3 linked regions of the Yarrowia lipolytica genome follow. The protein of the gene in region 2 purifies or fractionates together with the protein of the main gene of each other region. This does not show direct contact. Links are inferred from orthologs where the notes say so. Each region holds a gene or a part of one and is shown on either strand. Other genes may lie near its edges.

Region 1 (10,122 bases), on a different chromosome or scaffold from region 2:
TATAGGACGTCAATTCACCATGCATACCAGTGTCCACGATAATACTCTTGCTCGTAATCGCCTACTGTGATATAACTCGTCTGAAGAAATGCCGACCAAAATGACACGCCTGAAATACCCCCCCCCCCGCGTCTCACACCTTGTATCCAAACATCGAAACACTCACTCACATCATCGGTTCCACCCCCCGACACATCTCAGACCCCAACAAAACTACCAACAACATCGCAAATAATTTAAATATTCACGTCACCCGCCAATCGGTCCCAAAAATACGGCCCAATGAATGAGACTCAGAAGCGGCCCAAACCACCCCAAACAACAACAACAACAACAATAACAACAACACACCCAGACCCATCTATCAAATCCACCCAACATCTCCTTATTCCCCCTTCTAACCACTCTCCAAAACCTCCTCCCAAGTCTTCTTACCCTACTAGCCCAGTTACCCTACCGAGTCAATTTCTCCATATAAGCGTCCTGCAGCCCAAAATTTCTTCCTCAACTTTCATGTCCTGACGGGGCGTCGCAGAGTCACCAATTGGCTCTGTTTTGGATACCTCGGGCCTCAGTGTCTTGTTTGGGACTAGAGCAATATCTAGTTTGTATCTCCGGCACGGAATTTGCATGAAGTGATCGGTCATAAAAATTAGGACATTCTACTGTTCAATACAGTCTCAAGATGTTGACCCTACTTGTAGGTGTCTCATTTATTAGTGTGTCACGATGGGTCTAGACGAAGTTCCTCCGAGTATGTCAAAGGCTTCGAAGAGCACGTCAAAAAATCTTGTGCAGAACTGCTTGCAAATATAAAAAGATACATGCCTTCGACCAGATTTGAACTGATGATCTCAGCATTACTAGTGCTGCGCCTTACCACTTGGCCACGAAGGCAGGTTTATGCCTTGTAACGGATCGGTGATGGGTCAATCCTCAAGATATCCCTAGGTACGAGCGGGAACCGCTCGTCCTACTCTACAGAACAGTACACCAATAGTACGAGCTCCGGAAGTCGTATAAACATAACTTAACTTACATACTTGCGAGTGGTGGCTATATATACAGGCATCTCAACCCTAACTCTGTAAAGCACGTCACTATCCACGTGACCTAGCCACGCGATACCAAGTATTCATCCATAATGACACACTCATGACGTCCTCCGGACGTCATCATCGTCCAGTCACGTGCCAAGGCACATGACTAATCATAACACCTTATGACTAGCTTCTGAATCGTTACATGCCTATACAGGCAAAGTGGACTTCCAAAACTGAATTCAGATGATTAATCCGGTCAAGAGATGGAACAGAAATAAAACGTGAACAAGCGAACACGAATGTCATGCGCTCTTCTGAACAACCGATGTCGAATCCGAATCCGATTTGCGGGTATAACATTGCCTTTAGCCTCAAGTAGATGAAATGTATTTCCCTAGAATAAAGAAAACAGAATCTTTGGCATTGAAACAAGCCGATTCACTGATGGTGATCTAACAAAAACAGCTTTAATGAGATTAGCTGATACCAATTATATTTATATGACATTAGTCGTGGTCAGAATTATTTTCATTTGGTTTCTGTCACGTTCTTCATGATATGGTAATACGCAGATAGAGGAGCAGAGTATGTACTGTAAGACCAACGTGAATCTGTCGCCAATGACACCACCCTGGGACCATTTTCGGTATATCTGTGCAGTGCCCCTACCGGAATTCAATCATTTCATTAACATATAAATAACAGCCATATTCACAAATACTTATTGAGGATCAACTTGGCTTTGACAATGGCAGTAAGAACATCCTCCTCCTGCTTACAAAGAACTGGCGCCTTTTCATTCTTCTCGTTGTACGAGGACAACACCTGGAAACGCGTCGTCCTCCCCTTCCGAAGATACTCCAGGACATCTTTTGGCGAAAAAGTGTCAGAACCGATCTGAAGGGCCAATTTCACCCACAATTGAGCATGACCATAAAAGGCGTAAAGCACTGGAGAGTAAATCTTTGAAGCTCCTCCTTCCAACAAGCCACGATCAGGGCTGTCACTTAACGCCACCTCTAGTAAATCCATAGCATCATCGTACAACTCCTTCTCCTCTCCTTTAGAAACTCGTTCCAAAAACTGCCCAGCATTGACGACATGTCCTGCCCGTTGAGTGCACCGTTTGATGTACTTATGAAAAATGAAGACAGTGTAGTAATCTGGTAGGTAGACACAGGGGTAGACCTGGGGAATCACCTGATGATGAGTAGCAGTAAAGGTAGTGAATCTGTCGAGCAGGTACCACTCAGCCTTCGGCTCTGCGCCAAAAAATTCGACGTTACTCCGCAGAATTTCGACCCATTTTTCTCGTATGACCATACTCTCCACAAATGCAACCTCCCTAAGATGGTCAATTGTCTCGGGATCGAAATTGGGACCGAAATCTACATCTCCAATGAACAGAGGAGTGATGGGTCGTCCCTTGCCTGGTAGGATTCGGTTGCAGATTTCGGACATGCTGCCGTGGGAATCGTAGAAACTGAGCAAAATGAAAGGGTCAGCCTCGACAATGTCCTGGATCACATGCAAGAGAGGTCGAACGGTTGCCCAGGCACTCAGATGTGGCGCACTGGGGGACCCACTGCATGCCAAGTAGTACCCATAGACTGTCCACAGCGATAACCACAAAGAGGTTCTTGTGTACGACAACAATGGACGTAGATGATCAGAGAGTTTCTTCAGATTTTCATTGTGAGGCACCATGTCTCTCAGCAGATTCGAATCCATTCCTTCGTGTTTTGAACGATCGACAGGTACCTGTGCCACATCGTCCCAACCTTTATGCTCCAATGTGCTTGTCCGAGTTTCCTTCGCTTGTGTTGACGTAGTGTTCGATTGCTCGCCCTCCTCTTCGATATGGTCAATGAGAGATGATCGTAGCACAAGTTTCATGCGTTCTTGGGCTGGTCCCGATCCCTTGGAGAACTCCAGCAAGCGTCTCAGAAGGGCGGTGGCGCGTGCTCCAGGCGTCTTCTGACAGTCGCGTGTTCCCCGATGAACGCTGTTGTACGTCATAGTCTTGACGGTCTCCCCTCCTAGGTGCGAGAGAGGATACGCCGCGAGAGTCATGAGAATGGCTGTTTCTTTGGACGTTGGCAGCTCGACGGGGGTTCGGAGCAGACCCGTCTCGAGCACGCTGAGAGCCTCGTCAAAGATGCATGAGTCAAACAGATGGCTGGCGAGTTCCAGATGTCGATATTCCATGTGTGGTGGCGGCGGAATCACGTCCACAGATCCATATTGGCGTAGAGAACTCTATGCAGGGCCATGCAGGTGGCGGAGATATCGATGGAGCGTGCAATTAGTTACACAAATCAAGAAGAAAAAAAATAAAAAATAGCGTCATTGTTATTCGGGTGATTGAATCATTTTTGTCATTTTTGCTTGTTTTTTCCTCTTGTATATCACTAATACAATAGTTCGTTGACATTCGGGGAGTGGAAAGTAAAAAGCTAAGTATACACTTAACCATATAGTCCCTTTGTTAATTACAGTAGTTGAGATAACGGAAGAAAAGCAACAGCGATACAAGTACCTTATAATGAAATGAATGTATATGCAGAAAAAAAAAAAAAAACCTGGGCAAGTGTCGAAATTTGGGAATGGGCACGGGTCAGAAGAGCATCTAGATTATCAACATTATATCCTCCCTGTACTCCATTGTTGGTCCGGGCATCGTTACAAGGATTCGTGGACACTTCTCCAAGCTACAAGTAGCCTGACGTACAATGATCAATATGGTGTACTAGAAATACCTGGTGGTGTGGACAAAAAGAGAATAAGAAAGATAGTTGACCACTATATGAATATCGGAAGTCCAGGGGCCTGTATCAGCAATCCACTTGAAGTCGTCAACTGGCATGTCCAACACTAAAGTAACAGCACAGATCTTTATATGCCCACCTGGCGTATACAATGGATGCTATGGGGAAGGAAAAAAACATCTTCGGAGTAACATTGATACGTTTAATCCAATTTCAAGCTCCTTGGGCTCTCAGATTGCCCTAAAATTCGTCTGTTGATTCCTTGTACTCGGTTGCACGTATGGTAGACCCACAATCAATCCATTAACAAGATAGTCGCACACCATGGAATGAAAACGAGTACAGTTCTGCAACAGTAGTACTATTTTTAAAGCGATCATCTAGTTATAATTTATATATGCTGTACTCCTCGTGCCACAGATGTCATACTTGTTGAGATATACTACCCAGTGAGTCCACAGCATCTTCTGAGTACATGAACTTGTACATTATAAATTGATAGAATAATATAAATATGAATAAATAATAAATCAAATTTATATAAATAAAAGAATAAGAAATAAATAGTAATAAATTAATATGGGTTTTTTTGTTTTTTTTTTTTTTTTTTGTATAAAAAAGAGTGTACTACAACTCCTAACAAGAGGTTTGGACCCGTGACACACAACAGCGTCATGCAGCACAAATGGGTGGGGGTAGAAGACAAAAAGTATCTCGGTTTTTTCTGAAGTCTTCAGGGGGTTCGATGGAGTCCGATTTTTTCTTCTCTCAAGCGTAAAGATCCGATGAACATATTTATGTGGTTATATTGTGGGTTATTTTCAAATATTCCATTTTTGGCGATTTTATACGATATTTGAGATACTGAAATGTCACATAGGGGTGGAAATAAGGAGCCAAAAGAAATTAGTTTCAATGATATAAAATAAAAATAAAAATAAAAATAAAAATAAAAATACCACTAAACCTCTTGATTATCTATCGCCATTCAATCGACTCTGTATCCTTTTATCATCATATTCCCCTCATTTTTTCATCATTGACCCCTCTCCTATAAATTAAGGTTCAAAATCCACTCTGATCACATGACTTTTCCCTTTTGGGAAAACAGTCACAGGCTTGGAAACTCCCAAGGTCTATTTTTTATAATGGTGAAAAATCCCGTCTCATCTCATCAGTCTTCATCAACAATGTCGTTCAACAAGATTGTCAAGACCTCTGCCTACCACTCTCGGTTCCAGACCCCCTTCCGTCGACGACGAGAAGGTAAGACCGACTACTATGCTCGAAAGCGACTCGTGACCCAGCACAAGGCCAAGTACAACACCCCCAAGTACCGACTTGTTGTGCGATTCACCAACAAGGACATCATCGCCCAGATTGTCTCTTCCCAGCTCAAGGGTGACATTGTTTTCACTGCCGCCTACGCTCACGAGCTTCCCCGATACGGTGTCAAGCACGGTCTTACCAACTGGGCCGCTGCCTACGCCGTCGGTCTTCTTGTTGCTCGACGAGCTCTCAAGAAGCTCGGCCTCGACGAGACCTACAAGGGAGTTGAGGAGGTTGAGGGTGAGTTTGAGCTCACCGAGGCCGTTGAGGACGGTCCTCGACCCTTCAAGGTCTTCCTTGATGTCGGTATGACCCGAACCACCACCGGTGCCAAGTGCTTCGGTGTTCTCAAGGGTGCTTCCGATGGTGGACTTTACGTCCCCCACTCCGCTTCTCGATTCCCCGGTTGGGATATCGAGTCCGAGGAGCTCGACTCCGAGACCCTGCGAAAGTACATCTTCGCTGGCCACGTTTCCGAGTACATGGAGGAGCTTGCCGATGATGATGAGGAGCGATTCCGACAGATCTTCCAGTCTTACCTCGACGACGAGGTTGACGCTGACTCCGTCGAGGAGATCCTCCAGGCTGCCCACGAGCAGATCCGAGCTGACCCCGACCACAAGCCTACCGCCAAGAAGACCAAGGCCGAGTACGCTGCTGAGTCCAAGAAGTACAAGCAGAAGAAGCTCACCAAGGCCGAGCGAGACGCCCGTGTCCAGGCCAAGATCCAGGAGATCCGTGCTCAGCAGTAAGCGCGATTTTCGAATCTGTAAAAATAAAACTTTTAACCCATTTTATGCGGAAACGACTGGCCTAAGACCAGGACATGAAAGCTACCTGTAGATGATTAATACACAGTAATACCCGAGGGACGGAGCGTTAATAACGAGGGAACAATCTGATCTTTACGAGCAAGCAGATTGCAGTTCTGTTTCCCTTCCGAGCTGATATTCATTCAGAATCAACAGTGAAAATTTTGAAGGTTCATGCAGGCGGCTGATCGCAAGGACTAGGAGGAGGTAGATCTGAGAAACACTGACATCATAGTAGATACAGAAGGGTGAAATGTTGAATGCAAATGGCGGGGCAGTCAGTAGTATTACTTTCAGTTTCCATTTCAGCTAAAACTATCTACTATGATGTCTGTGGGGACTCGGTATGCGGACTACTCATACTGTACGATACTTGTAGTCGTTAGAAAGAAACGGGCATGGTGAGTTGATAAAGATAATTACTTGTAGTTGTGTGCATGGAAATGACATCTGAGAATCGTTGGTGACCACAGAACCCATACTTCTTAGACAGACTATACTCTGATTGATACAAGTGTCCCGTTCGCTCTTGTATAGCATGGTATACAACCCTTCATCTGTGGCTACCAGACCAGAACAATCCCGCTTGACAACTTCTCAATTCACACTCAAGTCGGTGACCCTTTTTGATGATCCTGTGTCCACATTTATACCACAATTATCCGTATGGTTCTTGTACAAGTACCATCCTGTGTACAAGTACAGGATGTACTTGTATATGCTCACAGTTTAGATGCTATTACGAACCTACAAGTAGCTTGTACATCAACTCTCGTACAAATACTCGTACAAGTAGTTCATGTTTATAGCATCACTTCTCATCCATGTCTCACCGGTTGGTCTTCCACGGAACACTACTGTGCTTGTTACGCTCACCTCGTGTTTGGGTCTGTGAACGGAGAGAGAGTGGAAATATACTTGTAGCGTTTTGCCAGAAGTCTTCGTGTCGACAGTTTGGTTAATCTCCAGCTTCAGCACTATTGTTCAGGTATTCAGCGTTCTTGTGGGTCGTGTCAGAAGTGCATTAATTCATACTGCCTCCATGTACTCGTACTGTACTTTCACGGGTACTCACCGAAGATACTGTCAAGTCCATGAATGGGCGTCTCACATATCTGCCGGAATGGCGAGTCAATTCTTCACACTCTATAACTTCCTCATTCGGTGGATGTCTCTTGTACAATAACAGCAAGTTGGTGGAGTTATGAGTGTATTTTCGGGGGGACAGGCAGGGCAGCAATACCAGAACACTCATACTGCTGCTCTGCCAGTATCATGAAGTTTTCATTGTCAACAGCCTTGATATCCGTCACCAGTCTTAATTTTTGCCAATTTCCTCCAATTTCCTCCAATTTCTTCTTTCTTCTGTAATGCAGAAAAAAACTCCGCATCCACTTTAGCCGACTCTGGGACGCGCACTGCATTAGCGAGCGGTTTAGCGACCGAGTACATACTGTAGCTTCTGACGTACCTGGCTACAGGTACAATGAGCCGCGCTGTGAGCTCAAATCAACACCGAGGATCGCTCAGTCATCGCCAAATTGTTGCTTCTCCGCGTCGCTCCAGCCACGTGACCTAAGTTTGCTCATTTTTTTCGTCCCGCTCTCTCGTCACGGACCTTTTTTTCAACATGCACCAAGTGTCGTTCTATTTTTGCTGTTTGTCTCATTCCGGCATGTCCTGTAGCAATATGGCAAAATGGCGGGGCAACAAAGAGGCGCGGGACATGGGCTTCAAGACACAAAAGCCCGGGGCAGAGAAGATGTGAGCGTCAAAGAGGACAAACAGGTGGTATGGCGCGAGTAGACACGACCGGGATGCTTGCGCATCTCAAACGATACCGTTTTTCTCCCCGGATGCTCGTCTCGTATTGCGCAAATCGCTCAAAAAGGCCTGAACTCTTCTGCAAACGGATTCGGGGAAGTCTAACCCACTTTGACCTTCCCCCACTTGTTTTTTTGGGCTAGACTAATGTACAATGCGTCTTTGTTTTTGTTTCACCTTGGTAGGGTTAGAAAAGAGCACGAGTGTGAGTGAAAAGCTGGTCCTTAGACTTGGTTAATATGGCAACCCGTGGACGTGACCACCGTCCGAACCGTGCGAAGAGGGCCGCTTCCACTTGTACAGCGCACTTGCCCAATAATACAGCGGTGCAGACCAGCTGCTGGGATCGTCGAGATCGACATGGGTATAGAAAAAGAAGACAATATGGACGGCCAAATGGCAGATAATACGGGCAAAAAAACAACCAACCAGAGGGGCGGTAACGGGACCAGTCTACAGGGCCCCTACTCAGCAGTACCAACTCCAGATTCACAGCCCCTTGGCCCTCTACATACCTCCAGAGCACATGTCTCACCTAACATTCTTGTTGACCGACACCAGCAACTTTATTGGTGGGCAATCCGGACTCTAGTCACTGGCCGGCAAAGGTGGAGCTATTGTAGGTCGCAAACTACCGCTAAAGTACAGTAGTGCGATGGTACGGCTGAAAATTATGCCGGTAAAACGGAGCTGAAGCTGCTGTTCCTTTTCCGCTCCAGGAGGCCGCGGAGGGTGGTGGTGTTGGTGTCACTGTCAATTCGTTCCCATCTCCAACATGTATATTTCCATACACCTCACATTCAACCCAAAAGTCAGTATTCTCCGCCCCACTATAACTTTAACAAGCGAATGTGCATAACATAAACAACACAACAGGGTGTGTATATCTGGAGATGTGGGGGAAATATTGGGAAACGGATGCAGTAGATTTATTTTTCACATCAAAAAGGCCCTATTTTCGTCTTTACCACCTCCTCACAGCCCTCCAAACACCCGCTGTCAGCCACCCCCCCCACACAACCCTTGCACCACCGGCGAACCTTGCTTCGAACCTTGCGACCCCCTGGCGCTCCGGCCCCCTCACCTGTTTATAAGAGCTGGACCCTTTAGATTCGTGCTCACGGCCCCCATCGACTACTCGTACCCACCACACTCGTTATGAAATCTCTATTGCTGTCGCTGCTGGCGGTCCCGGCCACCGCCCAGCTACTGCTCGACCTCCAGGGCCACGATACCACCGACCCCCGGCACCAGTCACAAAACCACCTGACCAAGCGAAAAACCGTGGAGCAGGACCTGGTCCAGAAGTTTGCCTACTACGAGGCCACCGTGTCTGTGGGCACGCCCGGCCAGCAAATCAAGCTGCTGCTCGACACCGGCTCGTCCGACATGTGGGTGCTAGGACAGAACGTCAACTGCGGAGGAGGAGGAATCTTCAGCCAGGGCATTGACTGCACCCAGAGCGGCGTTTTCGACACGAGCAAATCGTCCACATACCACAAAAACGAGTCCATCCCCTTCGACATCAAGTACAGCGATGGCTCCGAGTCCAAGGGTTTCTACGGAACCGACAACCTCGGACTAGGTGGAACCACCCTCAACGACTTCACTTTTGCCGTTGCCGACTCGGCGTCCGACGGACAGGCCGTGCTGGGAATCGGCCCCATTGAGAACGAGCAGTCTCTGTACACCGACAACCCCGTAGCCTACGCCAACTTGCCACTGGCGCTGATGATGGATGGCGTTACCAAGTCGTCGGCCTTCTCCCTCTGGCTCAACGACAAGGACGCCCTCAAGGGCTCGATTCTGTTTGGAGGCTACGACCGGGCCAAGGTGGACGGCGACCTCTTCACCGTGCCCATCGTCAACCTCAACCCCGGAGGACAGGGCCGGTCCCGAGAGTACAACGTGGGTCTGGACAGCATCACCGTGGGCGGCAAGTCCGTCGGCTCCTCCACTCCCGCTCTGCTCGACTCGGGAACCACCCTGTGCAACCTGCCCCAGGAAATGGTCGACGCCATTCTCGCCCAGTTCTCCGGCGTGTCCAACTCCCTGCGAGCCGGCTACTACACAAAGTGCTCCAACGTGCCCCAGGGCTCCATTGACTTTGTCTTCTCTGGCAACAAGCTGACCGTCGAGCTGGCCGACCTCATGAAGCCTCTTGAGAACCCCGACGGCTCTAAAATCACCACCGACGGCGAGCAGGCCTGCGGCATTCTCGTCACCTCCAACACCGACTCGCATTCCATTTCCGACTCGGTCGTCCTCGGTGCCTCGTTCCTGCGGTCTGCCTACGTAGTCTACGACCGTGACGCTCAGAAGATTATGATGGGCAAGGCTAAGTAC
Region 2 (11,495 bases):
TACTTGAGCCCTTACTGGTCGCCCCTGAAGCTTAATAAACAGCAAAGTGGTGCGCACCAGAGATAAGATAGGGGTTGGAGTGCGGGTTGTACTAGGGCAATTCGGGTGTATGGGGGAAGAAAAAGCAGAGTGAGAGTCCAGCTCTTGAATGACTGCTTGGAAGTTGCCGCCCGGCCTTTCGTCGATTTTACACGATTTATCCCGCACTCCGTCGGCTCTCTATTAAACTCCAGACTCCCTGCTCAAACAGGGGCATGTGGGGATAGACGAAGACGGGCCACATGGATTAAGCATGGGTTGTGGGGCTGCAAAAAGTGCGGCAGCTAAAATGAATAAGCCTGGATGAGGCCGAGCTCCGTCTCCAAACATACTGTCATGTTTGTGGGGAACTGTGTGCGGCTCACTGAACTGTACTATGCTCTTACTACAGGCGCTCATGTGGCTACTCTCACATGATGTTGCCCCACATGATGACGGGTTTGCCACAGGGTGGATCTGCAGGGCTCGATTCCGCATGGAATGACGTCAGTCAGACGATTCGATGCAATTACTGAATCGTAAAGTATCGTCGCTTGGCCACGGGTATTTTTAGCAAGTCCAGTTTCAGTAGCATCCAATGGTGCAATTTTAGTCTGCGACAATCAATGGTCTCACTCGAGCCCGTCTGCCCAAATTGGGCCATATTGCTGAGGCTAGGGCGCAATATGGACGGTGGGGGTGGCTCAAGCTAAACTCCAAGCCCGTAGTTGAGTTTTGAACAATGTCAATTAGTCATTCAAGTAACAACCAACTAAGGGAATTAAGTGGAGTAATTGCTCTCATTCGTACGCAATGGCTTTCAATGACCTTCAATGACCTTCAATGGCGCTCAATGGCGCTCAATCAAACGCAATCACACTCAACCAAGTGCATTATCTTCCAATCGCACCCAATGGCTCTCAATGAGCTCCGTGCGACGACCTTGCTACCCCAGTTGTCGCAATTGACGCTATGGACACCAACAAAAGCCCTCGTGACTACCAACGCGGCCTCAATTACACGCCACCGTGAAATGAACCCTATGTCTATCCACCTCGCGTAGATGGCCCAGGAGCTACAGTATCTTGCACAATCGGAAAATTGCTTGCTAAGTTTAACACATAAAGTCGCGTCCCATGTCTCAAGGGGTGTTTGTTCGTGTAGATTGTGTATTGTAATGTACAAGTACAGTATATTGTGTCATTTCCTTTAGTCCAAAGTTTGAGCCTTGTTTGCACGGCAACTTTGCAACCTGTTCCGGTACCCGTACTAGTCCCGCCGTTGCCCCTGTCGGAAGTGCTCGTAGTATGTTCATATTGTTGAGAAACACGCCGTAAATCGACAAAGAGCGCTGGCTGGCCCAAGTACGACAACTCATTGACCACCTGCCCACCAGTTCACACCCCTTCTCTGGACATCTATGCCTCTGTCGCTCCGATAAAGTTTCCCCTGGCACACTTCTCATGCTTGCTCATGTCGCCAGATATAGATAAGCAAGCATAGCGCATCCCCAACAAACACATTCCTAGGATATAGCAGAGACATGGCGTGAAACTAAGACAGTGCCAAAACCTCTAGACCGGAGCAGGCACCGCACAAAGAACTGTGGCTAGGTTTGTTTGCCGTCACCTGGCCTGAATATCCGTTTTGGTGGTACAATTACTACGGTATGCTACCATACGATACGATGCACGCACCCAGAAAACAAGGGGTACTTGTTTGTATTGCTATAATGGAAAAAGCAAACACTGTCCACTGAGCAATGACCGAGACCGTCACGGTGTATAGTGAATTCCTCACTTGAGCAACTAAACTTCACAAACATGTGCTTTTTCTACACAATCACAATCGATGCACATTCATCTCTCCTGTTTGGGTTGTTTTGGCCCACAAATCGGGTAGAGTTTACAAGGCGGCTGCCTATTTGGGTATTGTAAAGGACAGACCAGGGCTGAGAATGCCAATCTGTACAGCTCCACGGTCGGCGGAGTGTGGCTGGGGCTCCGGCCCTGTTGGTCCATCGAAGCCTACTTGAACAAGAAATGTCGGTCAATTGGCTTCTTGTGGACGCGTTCCAGAGACGTATATCCTTTACTCAAACGCGTCTACAAGTAGGGCTTTAGCGCAAGTTTATCGCGTGGTAAACATGTCTCAAGAGCCTTACAATGGCGAGGCTACCGTACAAGTACGAGTACGAGTACAGTACGAAGATTACCTGGCGTTACCAACCACTACCTGTAGCACTTTTATGAAGCTCAAACGATACAACAGTTAGAAGACTTCTAATATCGTGTATGTATCATCAACTGTTAGGTGGTATATTCTACTGTATGTACTTGTAGCTTCCATATCTCTTGGATTGTTACATAAACGGACGTTGAAAAGGACACTAATAACAACCAGGACATGTGACATAATACTTGGCCCCGGAACTCGCAATGACAGCAACCCTCTTAGCAGGGTAGCATCCTCCTCCACGGAATATTCCCTCTGCAGGGGTAAAAACGGCGCTACCATAGTTGTACACTAGAGACGACTACTGTATGTAGTGTATTAGCCGTGCCAGGAAGTGCAATGATGGACCACTTGGTGAAAGCGATACTTGTACAACCAGAAGAAAATGAGTGTATGTGGAAGGTAGTGTGGGATTTATGGCCTGCATGATAGGAGTAGCCCTGCTAATAGAGAGTGATACCAGATCTGCTTCTCGTTGTATCCGAGTATGTTCAAGATGTTAGTATCGGGAGCACTGTTGCAGAAGTAGATCGTTCTACAAGCCAACCCCAATTTTGAGAACTCACATGCTGGAAGATCCTTATATATTATTCACTCCAAACGACATATCATTACAGTATTGGCAAAGGAAGGCCAAGGGACTCGTTCTTCAGATTCGTCTTTTGAAACGTAAACCCTGCCTTCACTTCAGTCTAGTCACTTGTTTTAGATCATACCCTGTTCGATACCTCGTTGCTGCTGTACTTGTATCATACTACAACATGAGCTCAAGCCTTTAGAATTTCTCAGACACCCCAGGACTTGATCCCTGATCAGCAAAAGACTGGCTTGAATGTGTTCCAACCATTTATGACTACAAGTAGTGTACCATGACCCATCTTTCTCACGAACGGTACCAACTGGACATACAAGTACCACCATGTGCAATAGGGGAAACCCATCCCATCGCACACATCCAGGTGGTGCTCAACTAGTAACACAGAAATCAGGGCTATTCGTACCTCGTGCATCTCTGATCTGTTTGATCCTCGGCCAATCCGTTCTCTCGGGCTTCGAACGCTTCCCGTGGTTTCAAATCGCATGTCTCTGTATCTCATTATTGTTGCCTGGTTTGGATCGTTGTACATGGTTTCAAGTATTCTACGCTTCTCACTGACACTCACTCGCATCACTCGCACCACCAGCTATCGCTCGTGATGGTGATGACTACACCCCCTACTCTATTACACTTCAATCAGTCATATCTATAATACATAACTCTGCTTAAGCAGCTCGGACCTCATCGCACTTGATGGCAATGTGGCCGGGCTTCTTGCAGTTGTAGCACACTCGGCTCTGGGCCTCGCCGCACTCCTTGGAAACATGGCCCATGGAGCCACAGTTGTAGCACTTCTGGCCAACGGTGCAGTCCTTGGACAGGTGACCCTGGCCGCCACAAGAATAGCAAGACTGGGTTCGGCCAAATTTGGGAGGAGCACCGCCGGCGGGGACGCTTCGGCAAGCTCGGGCAAAGTGGCCAGGCTTGCCACACTTGTAGCAGACACCGGAGGGGCCTCGAGGAGCGCCAAACTCGCCACCAATGGGGGCCTCACCGTTGGGGGCAACGGGGGCAGCACCGTCGTGGACAATGGCATCGTTCTGGGGGCACTCCTTGAGGATGTGACCGGGCTGGTTGCACTTGAAGCAAGCCTTCTCCTTGGGCTCCTCAGTGCAGTCTCGGGACATGTGGCCGTCGTTGCCACAGTTGTAGCAAACGGGGTTGCCCACACGGGGGCAAGCTCGCACCTGGTGACCGAATTCACCGCCTGGATGGTTAGTAAAGTTGAAAAAAAACACATGTGACATAATCTCCAGGTGATATCACCCGACAACATGACGTGGGTCTGCTCATTGTCACCACAAAATCAAAACACTCACAGTTGAAGCATGTTCGAGAGTATCCTCGGAATTGCTGGGCCTGTCCTTCCATTTTCTTCTTCTTCGTCTTCACACAACAAACGTCGTCAAGAAATCAAGACTCGCTTCTCTAAAAAATTTCAAACCTTGGGCCTCACACTGCACTGTAGGGTAAGTGAAGGCTAAATGGGCTTGCGGGGTGTAGGAGGCTGCGAGAGCTGCAGAAAGAGGACAAGAGTGGTGTGAGTGGTTAGATGCTTTGAGTGAAGACCCCTGAGGACGCAAAGAAAAGCGCCACTTAGACACGTTTTTCTCACCATGCTCATGAATATCCAATCTAAGCCTGCAGGATTCACTGGGGCATTAACAAGAATCAGGAAAAATTGGGTTCGGGACTTTTTAGCTGCATTTACAGAAGCCTAATCGAAGAGCTGAAGATCAGTGAGGAGGTACAGGCTGTGCGGCTGATGACATGATCTTGTGATGCAAGAGACATCAAACTTACTAAGCGCATCGACAGCATGTATGGTGGGTGGATGTGGGTAATCCTGTAGACGAACGTCCAATGCCCCATCTGGGTAGTTGTAGAAACGTCTGGGTATCGATGGAAAATATCGTAGTGTGGTTATCGAGCTGTTCTTGGGGGTAGGGATTGTTCATTTGTCTAGTCGTTGGTCAAGGGACAGCCGAGGTACTTGCTGGTACTCTGGGATATTGTGGACGGTGTGGGATCAATCAGGAGCGCTTCGATGTCGGCATATTGGTATCGCGTTGGTACATACTTGAACTGTAGTAATCGTTGAAAGAGATGAGGATATCACTATATTCCCCTGGTATCAAAGTGGGGTGAGGGAGGGAGGGGAGGTGAGCACTGTGGGATGAAACTGGGTTATTCTCTTATTTGCGACTTTTATCCGAAGCTCTGATAGTGGATAGATAGCATTGGCATTATCTTGATGAGTATCGCCGAGTTGTCGAAAGATGAGATAGAACGAGATAGTCGGAAATTACAGCACCGGTGACGTAGCAAAAGATGATTCGCTCATCATTGGGGAATTGTCTTCATCGTGTCTTCTGTGTCTGAGTGTTGGTAACTGGGTGTGTTGTGCAATGACCGTACTCCACCACCATGTCGTTTGTCCGTGTTGTCCATACTATCTGTATTTGTGTCTCTGTGTCTCGTCGGTTTGTGTCTGCGTCTATGCCCGTGTCTGTATCTGTGTCTGTGTCCGTGTCTGTGTGTGCCTCCGTATCGTGGTGTCCACCGTGTATCGTATACCATGTCGTTTGCTGATGACAGATTATATATTGGGATAACACTACACACCTTGGTGGACTTCTAGGTTTAGGAAGCACCGTGGTGGTTATTGGATGTAAAATGGATGGAGCAACGAGGCGATAACAAGTACAGGACGGTTACGGGGGACGAGAGTGGTTTGAATGATTTCTGGGAATCCTCTCACATGGTATGGTTTGATAGGTTTCTTCAAAAAAACTAGCAACCCCAATATATTATGTTACTCTTGAGTAGGTGTGCTACAGGTTGTGGTCTAGTACAAGTACAGTAGTTGACTTTGTTGGAAGTTTAGTTAAGAGAACTGCCTGTTGGGGTTGTCTAACGGATGCAAGCAGTCCATGGTAATTAGACGTATATTTACATGTCTCTGACAGTTGTAGAAATATATTGAACAAAAAAATAAAAGGAAATCAAGCTGTTTTTACCCCTACAACAAACTAATACCAACACCCCCATGTTGTTAAATTTAGTTAAAACCTCAACTAAAGTTCACACTCCCAAACCAACCCACGCTAGAAAAATCCTGACCCACATACAGCAAAAGTCGCGTGGGCGCAGTCCATACCGCCGGTACTGGTGTCTTCGTGAAAAGGGAAGCCAAAAAAAATATATTTGCCTTCGACCAGATTTGAACTGATGATCTCAGCATTACTAGTGCTGCGCCTTACCACTTGGCCACGAAGGCGGTTTTTAGCGTTTCGAAATCTGTAGCCTGCACCCCCCGGACGTGGAGTTACAGGTTATGAGTAGAAAATAAGACGTAAATGTGATTCCTGATGGGTCTTATAAACACATATATATGTCAACAGCTGTTTTAACGTGTATAAGATTCCATATCACGTGTCTAAGTTGTCTTCATCAACATTTCGATTAAACTTTCTGCCCGCATCAACTCTAAAAAAATTCGAGATGAAATTTCAAATTGAGCATAAGCACATCTCACTACAAGACAATCACTATGGGTAAGGCATCAAAGGCGACGAAAAAGTTCCAAAACAAGCATCTGAAGAAAACCATAGATAAGCGACGTGTGGACCAGGCTGCCAAGGCCAAGGCCGTCAAGGGTCGACGTCCTGGAGCTAGCGTCTCTGCCGAAGACAAGGTCGAGAAGGCTGCTCCTTCGTTTTTCGAAGACATGTCTGTGGGCGACTTTATGAAGGGTGGATTTGAGGTTCCCGAAAAGAAGGGCAAGGCCGCTGAGGAGGACGAGGACGAGGAGGAACTTGAAGACGAGGAAGACGAGGACGAGCAGGATCAGATTGAAGCTGACGACGACTCTGAAGGAGAGGCCTTCTCTGACGAGGACGAGGCCCCCGAGATGGACGACCCCGAGTTTCTCAAATACCTAAACGACGAGGAGAACGTGGAGGAGGACGCCAACGCCGAGGAGGAGGACAAGGAGGAGGTGACACTGGCCATGGTCAAGAAGTGGGCATCTGCCATGGAGAAGACTCAATCTACCGACGCTGCTAGAAACGCTCTGCGGGCTGCTAAGGCTGCTCTAGCTTCTCAGGAGGATGAGAATGCTACTGCCAACTTCAAATACGTTATCAACGACATCAAGGTGGTCACCAAGCTATTTGATGTGGTCAACAGGTGGGTGCCTGTGGTTCTGACCAAGCAGCTGCCTCTCAAGCAGTCCAAGAAGGGTACCAGCGTTGTCGACGAGGAATCCGCCACCAACAACAAGTCTGCCACAGCTATCATCAAGTCGTATGGAGATGTCCTGCAGCAGTCTTTGAGCACCACCACTGGAGCCGAGGAGACTATCCGGTCCATTGCTGCACTCAAAAAGGTCATGCCCTACATGCTGAGTCATCGAAAGCTCACTAAGAACCTCATCGCCTCCGTGTGCTACATCTGGGGTACCAGCTCTGCCATTTCTGCCCGAGAGGCTGCCTTTGCTCTGCTAATTACTGAGTCCAAGGAGCACTCCGGTACCTATGAGGCCATTCTGAAGGCCGCCTACGGACAGTTTGTCAACTCGTGCAAAAACACCTCGTTCCACACCATGGGCACCATCAACTTCATGAAGAATACCGCCGCCATGTTGTACGCTGTCAACGAGCAGCAGGCTTATCCTATTGCCTTTGACGCCATCCGACAGCTGGCCATCCACCTGCGAGGCTCTCTGACCAATAAGACTGCCTCCAAACACGCCTACAAGGCCGTCTACAACTGGCAGTTTGTGCATTCTCTGGACTACTGGTCCCGAGTGGTTGCCGATACCTGTGACGCCGAGAACGAGGCCACTAAGGGCTCTCAGTCCCCTCTTCGACCTCTGCTATACCCTCTGGTCCAGGTCACTCTTGGAACGATCCGATTAATCCCCTCGGTCCAGTTCTTCCCTCTGCGATTCTACCTGATCAGATCTCTGCTCCGAATCTCCCAGCGAACTGGAGTTTACATCCCTTTGCTGCCTCTTCTCACAGAGCTGCTTAACTCGTCGGTCATGACCAAGCCCCCCAAGTCTTCGGCTCTCAAGCCCCTGGACTTTGACTACGCCATCCGAGCCAACAAGGGCTATCTGGGCTCTCGAGTCTACCAGGAGGGTGTGTGCGACCAGATTGTGGAGCTGGTGTCCGAGTTCTTTGTGCTTTACTGCAAGTCAGTGGCCTTCCCCGAGCTTGCCATTCCAGCTGTAATCACTCTCAAGCGGTTTACCAAACGGTCCAACATCTCCAAGTTCAACCGCCAGCTGCTGACTCTGCTGGATAAGATCGACGCCAACGCCAAGTTTATTGAGCAGAAGCGAGCCAACATTGACTTTGGCCCCACCAACCGAGACCAGGTCAACAACTTCCTCAAGGACCTGGACTGGCAGAAGACCCCTCTGGGTTCCTATGTGGTGGTGCAGCGACAGGTGCGAGCCGAGAAGCTTGCCATTCTTCGAGAATCGCAAGAACAGGACGCTAACGACGGAAACGAGTCCGACCAGGTCGAGCTGGCCGACTTCAAGGACGAGCCCGAACAGCTCAGTGAGAGCGAGGAGGAGGATGAGGACGAGGAGATGGAGTAACCTAGTAGACTATAGACAATGCAATATGAATGAAATCAAGAATACGCGAAGTAGATCCAAAGTGTGTTATGTATGTACACTGCTAGCCAAGATGCCATGGGATAACCACGAGAAAATTTGGCATTAGTAGGTGTACAATACTGTGTTCATCACATCCATACTACAAGTGCAATTATCAAGGAGCTAAAGACAATACCTGTAGTCAGATGGCTGTTCATCAGCAGACAGAGCTAGCTACAGGATGAACAACAAAGATTTTTCAGTACACCTGTTTTCTATGGAATCCTAGTAGATCTCCTGTGCTTGAATCGTCTCTTCTCTTAGTCTGGGCTTCTACAGTAGAATCAACCATTTTCCAACAAACAAATTCAAGTAAATACTTAGAGAGTCGAGCTCCCCAGGTTCGAACCTCTCATGAAGAAAAAAAAAAAAAAAAAAAAAAAAAAAAAAAAAAAAAAACTCATGTGTCATTTGCAAACTGTGTTGGAAATGAAATTAAAAGAATAAATATCGCTTAGATACAGGATGTGACACACATTTTTTCCTCGGTCTTTAGCTTTCCAAATCACCTCTGACTGACTGATATTGTCCAGCGGCAGCATTCGCCACAGTAGACTGCATCTGCATCTGATATGCATGAAATATTGAACCTCTAACTTTTCTGGCAGGATATTTTCCACCGACCTATTCACAATATGAGACTTGCTCGAAAGACGCTATTACGGCCCAGAGTGGGCACTTTTCGAGTAAACACCGCCCCGCTGTTGTGTAAACACTTACATACAGTCTCGAAAACCACTACAGTCACTTCTTTGAGAGCACCGACACTGATCACCAGTTCGTGCACTACTACGACTGCTCCGTCTCGACACCTTTCTACAAGCTCCTCGGTTGAAGAACAGACGGAATGTGCTTCGTGTAACACTCCTTTCCACACCGAGGATCGAGATCAGCCTGGATTTTTCGTAGAGCCCAAGAAAGTCAACATCAAACAGGAAACAGATCGGTTCAACTCCCTAATCGATAACATGAGTGCTGAGAACCTGGAGTTTCTGGCCCGCGAGCAGAATCTAGTAAGCAATGACGAGCCCTTTGACGTTTTTGAGGCGAAGAAATATTACACCCAAAAGGTCAAACTGAAAGGAGAAGGCCCTAGAGTGTGTTTGCGATGTCACGAGCTGCAACGAAACAACATTGATGAGCGTGTTCCGTTTGTCAACCAAGTTAGAGAGGCCTACGAGTTGAAAGAGGATATTCGAAAATACAACCAGGAGATTTTGGACATGATTTCGGCTGAGGCTGACACTGCTACGGTGTTTCTGACTTGTTCCATTCACGACTTCCCTGCCAATGTTCCCATCTTTTTGAGAAAACGACGGAATTTGAAACTCATCCTCACCAAGGCTGAGGGCGTCATCTACGTGCCGCAGATCAATTCAGTCAACGTGCAATTGTGGGCCGCTGCTCAAATGCAGAGCCTTGGTTTCAAAATGTCCGCTGACAATGTCCATTTCTTCTCCGCCGAACATGACAAGTCTGGAGGTCATCACCAATTCTCCATGTACGATCTGCAGCATGAGAAGAATGCCTTCATTGTCGGTTATCCCAATACTGGCAAGACTTCTCTTTTCAATGTTCTCACCGAAGCCAAATTCAGCAAGGACGCCAATGAATTGCGATACGCTCTCCCCAAGAATAGACGGGAGCTCAAAAAGTGGAAGAACACCTCGTGGCACCCTGAACAGACTCTTATGCCGTGCACTAGAAAGATGGGAATGGGCAGGATCACAGATATGCCTGCTTTCAAGCGAGCCAACTCTCCCTGGAGTCTGGTTGATCCCACCAACAATTCTTACCTCACCGACAAAATGATTCTGACTGATAATGCCCGCAAATTTGCCGGTTCTGATATCCACATCAAACGGAACCAGGTTGCTCTTGTGAGCGGTCTGTTTGGAGTTGAAACCACCCCTGACTCCGAATTGCTCGTGTGGACTTCTATTCCCGGTAAAAATTGTCTAGCCAAGCATACCAACGCTGCCAAGGCCAATTTTGTGTGTCGAAAGGGCAAGGATCACGGCAGAGCCCAGTACAACCTGTTGGATATGGGCAAGGAGGATCTTCCTCAGCTGGCTGAGCTTGGTACTGTTTCTTTTGATAAAGAAGACGGAGTTGGTGTTGAGGTGGCCTTCGAAGGAGCTGGCTTTGCGCGAATCAAACGGACCGGCTCCAAGGAGCACGGGTCGCCCAAGGCTGTCATTTGGGGTTTCCCTGGACAAGTTTTCGCCTTCCGACAGCCTCTGTGTGAGATCATGTTGAACAACGATATGACTGTTAAGGGCTTTTTCGGACTCAAGGACCCCAACTGGAAGAGCAACCGACAACCAATGTTCAACTACAAGGTCGACTTCCAGCCTACAGGCAACGTGGAGCAGCTGGGAGGCTCAGAGTCCAACATGTACCGAGTCAAGGAGGGGGCGTTCACGCAGTTTTCTCAAGAGCAACTGATGAGAGCCAAGCGAGTTGACCCCAAAACTGCCAAAGCGTTCAAGGTTCAGCAAGAGCTGAAGCTCAAAAACCGTTCTCGAGCTCCTGACGGCGACGAGTTCCTGTCTCCTGATGATTTGGAGATCATGGACAAGGCCAATGAGCGAATTCGACAGAAAAAGGGCACTTCCAAGAAAGGAGATAAGAAGGCGCAGGGTCTGATTTGGACAAAGGTGGGCTCCTCCAAGAACATCAAGTCTTGGAAGTGGCTGACACCCGAGGAGGCCGAGAAACACGCTCATAACCAGGACCCGAACTGCATGTGGTTCAAGCAAAAGCATGGTGACCAGACCTTCGAGGAGGTTATTGCGAAGTACAAGAAGAGAGGCAATCGGTTGAATAGTGGAGGAAGGAGATGATTGTACATAGTTAATTATTGGTTTTAGACCCACTGAACATGAGTCAACACAGTATACTGCACGCAGAATAATTCACAACACAACATAGGGACGTCCATAGATCCAGGTAAAATACGACAGTGAA
Region 3 (9,933 bases), on a different chromosome or scaffold from region 2:
ATTCGAATTTCCTACAGTATAGCACCAACCGAGTATATCATCTTTGTCCTTCCATCTGTTGCAACACCTCGTGATGCATGTCCCTAATCTCCTCTGCGCCCATGATTCTCGCCTGGAAATTGTAGTCGACGAAGCCGGCAAAGACCTCAATGTGGTTCTGCCGTTGCCAGTCACGGGGAGTCACAATATCGGTCACAATTCCAGAGGCCAAATCGATAACGTGCAGACCTGAGATGAGGCCCGTCTTTCCTAGGACAAATTGGGTGGAGTTCCGCGATACACTGCCTTGTCGAGTTTGCAATGAGGTCAGCCCGGTGATGGCACTGTCGGCTCGATAGTACACCCGGTCCGGAGACGCGAGGTCCACAAAGGTAGGAACTACAAACTGTCTCGAAGGAACTCCCTTCTTCCACCAAATGAGACCGTTGTAGGATGCGACGGGGCTTGAGTCTTGTGAAACTGCCGCATAATCTACCATTTGCCGTGTTTCCAAGTTGGCTAACCAGAATTGGCGCCGATCAGTCTGTCTCCATTCCCGGAGTGTTTCTGTTGTTACAAGAACACCACCCATTTCTCTTGGCTCTTCACTTGTTCCGTGAAAGTAGAAACCGTGATCAAAGTGAGGCTTGTCTCGAGGAACTGCGTAAACCTGACCTGTATTCAGGTACAGGGCCACGAACGACTCGGTAATGGTCAGAGGTTCGAATTCGAGAAAGTCCTGGGACTTGATGGAGGGTGGAAGGGTCACCTCGAGATCCCTGCACTTGATGACTGTTTTGTCGTGATCCTCAGCCACCACTACAGGGAACACTTCGTGTTCGAGACTCTCTAGCGTCAATTGACTCCTCACATAGGTATGTTCATCGCCACCCACTTTTATGGACTCGGTTAAGATATCTCCCGAGTTGTCCGTCAAGCCCGTGAAGTTGCTGGGCAGGGGTTCATCACCTTTGATTTCGAGTCCTATGACAGTTCTGCGTTCCTCCTTCTTTGCAGACACGTCAATGTCGTCTACGGACTCTGCCGACTGCCATGATCGGAGACGAGCAACAAACACCAACACACAATCTGTCCATGAGTTGAAGTCATCCACGGGTTCGGTCCACGGGTTCCGAGCCTTCATCTGGGCTCGGAAATCGACCTCTTGGAACGCGGTGTACCATGCTGAGCTGACTTCCCGAAGACTGACACATGTTTCTAGGTCGGCAGCTTCATAGATCAATCTCATGATTTCCTGGGGAAGATAGGAGCCGATGCTTGCGGTGCTTTCAGGTCTGGTGGCATCTGAAGAGGTCATGCAGATCGGCCTTACCGTTCTGTCCAGTACCACGTGGTTTCCAAATGGTGCCAGATGGTCTTCCCAAAACTGCCGGCGACCAGCTTCGTTCTCACAGCCGCGCATGATTTTCAACAGACCGGTTTGCAACATGATTTGTTCCTGCTGGGCGAATCCTGTTGCATTTTGGTTAATGAGATCCCACTTGAGTTTGACCTGAACTAGCTCCGTCTCTTCCCCGTAGGCAGCAAGTACCTGGCTCATCTTATCCAGCACGGAAAGATGCTCTTGCAGTTTATCCAGCATGGCGTTTCGACTAGCCCTTTCTGTGTCCCGTATGTAATCGTAGCCTGTCCTGAGCTGAAGGGCCCGATCACAGCATTCCGCATACGTAGCGCTTGGACAGAAGGGAATCTCCGCGATCAGCCCCTTCATGGACTTGTTGAATTTCTCCATGCTTGCCATTAGGTCAATGAGCAGCTGCTCTTCATGCTCGGCCCTGTGTCTTCCGAGAGTAGAGATGAGATCCAACACGTTAGCTCGGGTTTCACTGGCATCTGGGGTATCCATAGTGTGTGTATAAGGACGAGTGAGATGACGATAAACCTTGGGAGAAGTGAGTTGCGAGATTGGTGACAATACAGATTGCAAAAATCGAACAACAGGATGAGTGTGAGACAACAGGAGACTACAGTACAAAGATGGGTCAAACTACAACGACTCACTTGAGCTGACACGCTCATGACAATAAATATATTCAATGCAAGTTAGTAAATGTCGGGATTCATCGTATCAGAGATTGTAATGAACAATGACAGACACGACTGGGGTGCTGGATCAAATGGTGAGAATACTGCGTTCACGCGACATATCACGCAGTCACAGTCAGTTGTCCGAGCGACGTGATCACCCAGTAGCTCGAGTCGCTCAGTGAATGGAGAGGACAAGACACAGTCACTTTAGGTCACTGTAGCAGTTGCGGAGTCTCGAACATAGCTCAATTAGCTAAGACAACCCGTGTTCATGAAAAATATGGACAATTTGACCGCGCACGTAGGTTGAGTTGTGAGACCCGGAAATCGGGACCCTCAACTTTCCTGTCCCAATCTGAGGGCCTCCTGTCTAACCAGTTTGAGCATGACATCTGCCTGCTGCGGCGAGATTCCCATTTGGCTCAGCACGTTCACCGCCACGACATCAATGTTGACATACGAGGGTGGCAATCCGTAGTCCTCTTCATTGTCCACCACCATGTGTCTAGGGATCACAATGTACACCATGATCATGGTTCCTTCCATGAGATGTTCGTGCAGACCGCTCTTAGCCATGCTCAGGGTCACCACTGCCTCGGGACGTTTGTCTTCGATGCCCTGGCGCAGCTTTTGGGCCTTCATCAACGCGTGCAGCTCTGGCACCTCCTTGAGCCGTAGAGTGTCGAATTCATGCGACTGAACAACGCCGAAAACGCGCACCGAGTCGCGGAAAATGTCGCGTCTGTCGCCCGTCGTTTTCCCGGCCACCAGACGAGCCAGCCGGGTCACTGATGTTGTCTGTGACATGGGGTGAAGAAGAGTGGAGGATTAGGTTCGATGTTGAAAAGATGAGGGAGGTGGTAGAATGGCATGCAGAGGAGGGAGGAAGATGGAATTTCAACGGGGGGATATTCCAGGAATCGCAACCATGTTGAAGGTGAGTATATTCAAATCGAAAGAAAACTGAGCAAGATTGAACAGCTATGATGTAGATATACTGCAACCTTAACAAGTATCATAAACTACAGTATGTACTGTACTGTAGAAGAGAAGGGGGGTTTCTATCATGGCATGATGAGACTTGAAAAAGAGTAAAAATGGTATCGAATGATAGCCCAAGACAAGATGGGTACGCGCAACCTATTATTGTGGCTCTATAATGAATGTTGAGATGTTGAGATGTAAGTCCGGTTTTCTTGAGTCCCGAGACCCAGAAGAAACGGCAATTGGGGTATAAAGACTTGATCGACTCCAAAGACACATAGACAGTGAACAGAACCACCTCTACTATCCTCTCATCTCACGATTAGTAGCATCAAAGTCTCCCTAACCATTATACAAGACTACATGTACTGTAAACTACAAGTACATAAAACGCTCCGATGTTTGCTTCAAAAAGGAGTATTTTCCCTTCGTTCATGCTGTGTTCTACGGTAGTCGTCCGCAGGGAACAGTGAGTTCACGAAGACACACTCGGTCTTCGCTCAATGCACACTAGTACCGCGTTTGCACGCTCTCCTCTCAGGTCGATTCACAAGTGCGCTCTCAATAGAACCACATGTCGTTCTTCAAACCCGATGTTCGTTCGGTAAATAATCTATTAGTCATAATAACAAGACACATCGGCTTGCCAACATCCCCATGCAATAACTTAATATTCTCTGGTGCGTTTTCTTCAAGCTCGCATCTTTCGCTTGCTCTTGGACTTGAGCGCAATCTCGACCTTCTCCCGCTCCTCCTCGGACTCCTCCTCCTCGGACACCTCCATCTCGGACATGTCTTCGTCGTCGTCGTCCTCGCCGGCCTCCTGCATTCGTCGGAGCTCCACCTCTCGCTCTCGCAGCAGCTCGGGGTGAGCCTCGACCAGTTTTCGGTCCTCCTCCAGCTGGGCGGCCTTGTTGCCCCGCATTCGGTTCTTGTAGAAGGCCCGCTCTCGCTTGAGCCGGATCTCCTCCACCTTCTCCATGGCCTCCAGAGTCTTCTCCACGAGGTCTCGGTTGTATCGCACGGGCACGTCTCGTCGGGCAGAGAAGGCCAGGGTGGAATCCACCACCATCTCCTTGCCAGCAGCCTTTCGGAACGCCTTGGTCCATCGCAGCTTTCGGGGGTTTCGCTTCATCTTGAAGTTCTTGTGGCACTTGGATCGGCAGAAACGAAACTCCTTGGAGTCGTTACGCACGAACATGATTCCCTTACCGGGATACACTGGCGACGAGCAGAAATGACAGTTGTACACTCGCATTTTGTGGTTGTGCGGTTGTGAGGTTGTGTATGATGATGAACGAAATCTTCCGCATGCACTCTATGTCAAAAATATTTATTTGAGTTTGAAAATTCTGCACGTCCAAAGTCTGTGGCGAGAGTAAGCGAACAGGGATAATGTGTTGTATATGAGAGGTACAATGAGTGTGACATGCTCATTGAAATATCCACGTGATAAATCTCAGTCAATTTCCGTTTTGCCTATTTTGTCGATTTTTATCGGATTTTATCGGATTTTATCTCATTTAATCCAAATAAATCCAAATAAATGCAGTCCCGCTATAAGCTCACCGCTTACTAAGAACAAGGCGGCTTGGAACGAACGAGTTGATCGAAAAGCGTCTTATGGAGTCTACAAATAGAGAGCAGATTTAGAGAGGTGTCAATGGCTCTTAAAAACGCATTGCGGCTAGAATTGAGCACTCCTGATGACCCGTACTTCACATATTTGACTTGCTCAAAAGAATGAATCAGAGGCATCTTGTCTACTTGTACTAATACTTGCTATGAACAAGAGTCTTTAAATTGTAAACGAGGTACTTGTACTTGTGCTTGTGTGATGTTTCTGAACTGATAAATACACTCTCGTGATCTCATCATCAACACACAGAAGATTCTGCTGCTGAAGAGTATACATCCCTATGGTCAAACAGTGGATACAAGAAAGGGACCTTTTAAGAGCATAATGAGACGAATCGTCATTGAATAGTCAACAAACCAATTGGGTAAACCTCAAATCGTTATTCATTGAAGTTTTTAGGCCTCCATTACCTCATTTATGTGTCTTACCTCGTTCACTTGCGCTAGTTGTTTAGAATTTTGATCCTCCACAGCTCAGACATGATTTTTATTGAACATGTAGTTCATTTATATGCTTTATTCACATAATTAAATGTTCCTGTACATTTATATATCTTCTAGTAGTCCTTTATCTCGAGTCATACTTCTATCTACTGTATATGGAGTTTTCACTGGAAACTTATAGACATCATAACACCCTCATATTTGGATTTAAAAGCCTGAATATTTCGGATTCTGAATAATTAATAGACAAAAAGGGTTTTACTATCACTAAAACCCCTAAAACCAGCCAAATTTCTCTTTTTTTACATCTTTTGCAACATATTATTTTAACGACTTTTTACTCCATCTTCCGCAATAGTTTAGTGGCTAGAATTTCCGCCTGTCAGGTTTACACCAGCACGCGGGGGACCGGAGTTCAATTCTCCGTTGCGGAGTACTTTTTTACCAGTCAAATATCCCCATACCCTAACCCTAAACCAACATGCACCTCCTACCGCCAGAAATATCTGCCTGCTATTACTCAAAATCACAACCACCATGCTTCTCGTTTTGAACACGGCGAGGCGGGGTCTCTTGGCCTCGCCCGGCAAGTCGCTGGTTCAGCAGCATCTGCGACCGCTTTCGATGCTTGTGAATCGGCCCATTTCTCGAGCTCCAGCTGTCCCTGTTCTTATGGCTGTTCGAGGCAAAAAGACCGACTCTGATCTGCCCCGAGATATCGATCCTATTGACCCTCGAAGCAACTCGTTGCGATCTCGAATCCCATCTTTCCCTCTCGGTAAGGAGGCCCAGCCGACCATCATTCCCAAACCCGACACTCCTGTGGTCGGCCCTCGGCTCTCTTTCACTGAAATGATGCTGATCCTGAAAAACAAAAAGGAGCCCGAGTTGCTGTACGAAGCCGAGCCCCACCGTCTCTACTTTGTCATTTGTTTCTGTGGCTCGTTTGTGCTGGCTTTGTACGGAATCATGTTTGGAGAGAACCTGCTGAGTGCTGCCTACATGGACTGGAAGATGAACCCCACCGACGAGCCATTTGTGCACCAGATGTTCAAGTTTGGACTGAGATCTGCTGTGCCCATTGCCTTTACCTCCATTTTCCTCTTCATGTCCTACGTTCTTGCTCGTTTCCCTGGCAGACTGATCCGACGTCTGTACTACCTTCCTGGCACCTACATGAAGGGTGTTCCCGAGCACATGCAGGGCGTGGATCACATTCGGTTTGTGACCCACCCCTATCTTCCTGGTAGACCCTCTCCCGTCTACACAGTGAACCTCAACCAGCTGCGATGTGGAGAGAGGACAACCATTTTCACCAAGGACGGTTTCTACGGTACCGCCTCCAAGTCATCCTTCTTCTTCTTCATCTGGGAAGGCAAGAGTTGGGTTCCCTGGGTGGTCGATCGATCCGGCTGGTTCTGGGGCGACGGACGAGTATGGGATGTACTGTTTGGAAAGAAATCCATCAAGGAGGCCGAAAAGGGTCTGTCTGAGGACGACAAGATCAAACAGCACTGGCGAATCCAGGACGCCGCCAAGGCCGAGCGAAAGCTCAAGGAGGGCAAGTCCTTCTATATCAACGAGTACAAGCGCGGCTTTGAGCGCGACTTCAACACCCTCAAGGCTAACACCGTCGGGCTTGTGGAGGACATTAAGGAGAAGCGAAAGGAGGACAAAAAGAAGGCGCTTGAAGAGCCCCAGACAAAGTTGACCTGGCAACAGAAGCATAAGCAGAAGTTGAAGAACAAGAAGAAGCAATAATCTTGTTGTGTATATAGTAACTGATTAACCGAAGAGCACGAGGGGAGCGAAGATCATGAGGCGTAGCAAATCATCCTTACCCAACGCACTTGTAGCACGAGCTAAGGGAATGCTCTGTAAAATTGAAAACGAATACCCTTACTACGAATGTATCATGTAAGAACAATACTACATACATACTGTACATATGTAGTTGACCTGAATTACTGAGTTACAGTCATACCATCAAGGAACGCTACAATAAGAGCACCCCTTAGCAAATGCTCTTCACCACCATTCACATGTTTACCCTACCTATATATATCCTTCGTTATACTGTATAGCACACTCTATGTGCTGTATCATCTTATGCTCGACATTGTCTCTCCTACTCCTCCACAGTCAAATGATACTCCAGTCTGTTCAAGAAAAGCTTGGCTCGCTTCTCGGCACCGGGGACCTTGTCGTTGACTGTTACATCGACCTGCACAGTGTTGGAAGGCACCTGGACAGCAGCCTTTCGGGGCTTTCGGTCCGACAGAATGTCATACAGGTCGGCCCCATTGGAGAGAGCCCGCTTTGTGGACTTGGGGTAGATGACGTTCACGTCGTAGAACTTGGTGCCCTTGGCGGGGCCGATGATAGCCTCAAAGTCGGGGTCCACGTTGGCGGATCGGCGGGGCTTTGCGAGCTCCACGGCGTCGTATTTGGCCAGCTTGATGGCCTGCTTGACGATTCGCTGCAGCTCGAGCTGGTCCTCGGGCTCAAAGTGGGCCACATCGAGGAACGAGGTGAAGATGACAGGCTCGGGAGCAGCCTTGGTAGCAGGAGCAGCAGCATCTCCAGCCTTGGCAGCCCCAGTGGGAGCAGCAGCATCGCTCTTCTTGGCGGGCTTGATGTTGGACAAGTCGAGATGGGATCGCTTGTTAATCTCGTCGGCAACAGCGCCAGGAGAGCCCTCAGGGACCTTTCCGAGGTAGGCGAGAATGTCGCCCTTGAGAAGCCGGCCGTGGGGACCGGTGGCCTTGATCTTGGCAAAGGCGTCCTCCTTGGAGATGCCATTGGCCACAAGAAGCGAGGACACCGAAGGGAGAAGGGTCTGTGCGGGGTTAGCGGGGGCAGAGTAGCCGGATGATGAGGGAGCAGAAGACGATTCGGTCTTGGGAGCCTCCTTGGGGGTAGAAGGAGCCTTAGGGGCAGGGGCCTTAGCCTCCTCCTTAGGGGCCTCCTTGACCTCCTCCTTGGCCTCCTCCTTGGGAGCAGGCTTGCCGTCCGACTCGACAGGAGCAGGAATATCAATGGTTTTGATGTCATCTCCGGGCTCAGCAATCACAGCAATGGTGTCTCCGACCTGAATGTCCTTGTCACCGTCCTTCTTGTAGATCTTGGCCATGACTCCATCGTCAGCAGCCTCGACGTCGATCTGGGCCTTGTCGGTTTCGATCTCAAGGATGACATCACCAGCTGAAAACTCGTCGCCCTCCTTGACCTTCCACGACACAATGCCTCCCTCGGTCATGGTGGGACTCATGGCTGGCATGGCAAAGTTGCTGGCCTGATAGAGGCGAGGGGTGGTGTGGAGCACTGGGTTAGTAAAATGACGGCTGTGGGTCCGATCGGACAACAACGGAACCAATACACGGAAACGACTAGCCGCAGCTAGGTCAGGAAAGGATAATAGCATGTGTAAACCTCACAGTTTAACACACAGCAAAGTCCCGGTTCAGCGTCTCAGATATGATTAAATGCCGAAATTCAAGAGCCAGAAGAAAAAACCGAAGAGAGCAGAGTAATGTCACTTGTACCACTCAATTGCAAGTATTTCACAAGAGGACAGAAGTGGAATGGGTGTAATTTGTTCCATATTAGTGGAAGTCATCAGGGGTGGATCAGAGATCAGATCGGAGAGTGACGACATCGAGAAACACGGAACCTGTGCAACGGTCGATATTCACTGGCACAAAATGTCAACCCTCAAATCACCCTCATAATAACACCATCTGTATCAACCATCATAGATGTCTCAATGTAGACTCAACCCGTCAGATATTGAATGTGGATACCCATAACCCCAAGAAGATGCACTTGCCGACAAGAGAATCAAAAATCACCACAACAAACCAAACCGATCAATCAACCTCATCTAACGCACTCCCTTTTCTCTTGTCCTCACCCATCTCCATTCTGCATTGCTGATCTCCTTCAGTGTCCAATATCTGCGTACTGTATGCAACGAATAGCAACAAATGGCAACAGTGTAGTAGAGAAACGAAAGCTGTTGGAAACGAGACGGCCTGCTCGCAATCACACGGCCACGTGAACCACAATCTACTCTGTATCTCCGTCTCCTCCTTCTGTGTCTCCTTCTTCGACTCCCGCCCAGCATCACACATGTCACTAATAATGCACTCAAGGGGAGCAATTGAACGGCAGTCACGATGTGGAAAACATCCATCTGTATGTGACTCGTCGCTGCCAGCAATACTCACGTCGGGCCCGGGGAATAACTCTCAACAGTCGGTTCATTGTGTGCCTCAAAGGTGTCGTTATTACGTTCGGACAACTGACGTTGGTCTCGACATTCTGTTGGGACGGAAAAACAACGCACCCTAACCCTCGACTAATTTTCCGGTCTAGCATCTTGTTGGGAGTGGGGGTCGAAAGAGATTTATTTGATGATTTATTATAAAAAAAATTAAAAAAATGAGACTTGAAGAATTGAAGAAATTAGCAAGCTGGACCACCGATCAAAGGAGAAGATCAAGTATGATAGAACAGACTTAACAAAGAAGCTGTGGACCAATGAGTAGCTACAAGGTTCTTCCACTGTTACTGGTGCATGCTGTGTGACATCTACATGCGTGTGACAACTGCTCAATATGAAAAAATAAAAATTTGAAAAGTTTTGAAAAAAAAAAAAAAAAAAAAAAAAAAAAAAAGAAAAACTTGCGGCAGAATAACGACGATTTTGCCGCTAAAGAGTTGCTTGGAAAGATCAGGCTTGTTGAATCAACTCACCAAATCGGCCTATGTAGCCTGGAATTGATTCACACTTGTGGGACTTCCCGACATACGTACTGGTAGTATGTCTATGTATAG

Evidence for each region.
Region 1: the proteins of YALI1_D14893g (region 2) and YALI1_E26336g purify together in Saccharomyces cerevisiae (affinity purification with mass spectrometry; 4 studies listed by BioGRID, with this or other methods). This does not show direct contact. The link is inferred for Yarrowia lipolytica from reciprocal best matches to the Saccharomyces cerevisiae genes NOC2 and RPL5.
Region 3: the proteins of YALI1_D14893g (region 2) and YALI1_B13137g purify together in Saccharomyces cerevisiae (affinity purification with mass spectrometry; 4 studies listed by BioGRID, with this or other methods). This does not show direct contact. The link is inferred for Yarrowia lipolytica from reciprocal best matches to the Saccharomyces cerevisiae genes NOC2 and RLP24.

The regions. Positions count from the first base shown.
Region 1 is NC_090774.1:2,628,770-2,638,891, forward strand, and holds YALI1_E26336g (60S ribosomal protein uL18), read left to right. Parts: upstream 1-4,896; coding exon 4,897-5,892; downstream 5,893-10,122. Other genes in the region: YALI1_E26320g (uncharacterized protein), read right to left, coding at 1,755-3,251; YALI1_E26377g (uncharacterized protein), read left to right, coding at 8,935-10,122. UniProt on the Saccharomyces cerevisiae protein: Component of the ribosome, a large ribonucleoprotein complex responsible for the synthesis of proteins in the cell.
Region 2 is NC_090773.1:1,484,270-1,495,764, reverse strand, and holds YALI1_D14893g (uncharacterized protein), read left to right. Parts: upstream 1-6,404; coding exon 6,405-8,465; downstream 8,466-11,495. Other genes in the region: YALI1_D14915g (uncharacterized protein), read right to left, coding at 3,517-4,058, 4,171-4,222; YALI1_D14910g (uncharacterized protein), read right to left, coding at 4,240-4,504, 4,563-4,723; YALI1_D14866g (uncharacterized protein), read left to right, coding at 9,161-11,371. UniProt on the Saccharomyces cerevisiae protein: Involved in the intranuclear transport of ribosomal precursors.
Region 3 is NC_090771.1:1,309,435-1,319,367, forward strand, and holds YALI1_B13137g (ribosome biogenesis protein RLP24), read right to left. Parts: upstream 4,271-9,933; coding exon 3,704-4,270; downstream 1-3,703. Other genes in the region: YALI1_B13112g (uncharacterized protein), read right to left, coding at 38-1,846; YALI1_B13122g (uncharacterized protein), read right to left, coding at 2,365-2,835; YALI1_B13150g (uncharacterized protein), read left to right, coding at 5,632-6,855; YALI1_B13179g (uncharacterized protein), read right to left, coding at 7,223-8,518. UniProt on the Saccharomyces cerevisiae protein: Involved in the biogenesis of the 60S ribosomal subunit. Ensures the docking of NOG1 to pre-60S ribosomal particles. Activates and recruits ATPase AFG2 to cytoplasmic pre-60S ribosomal particles.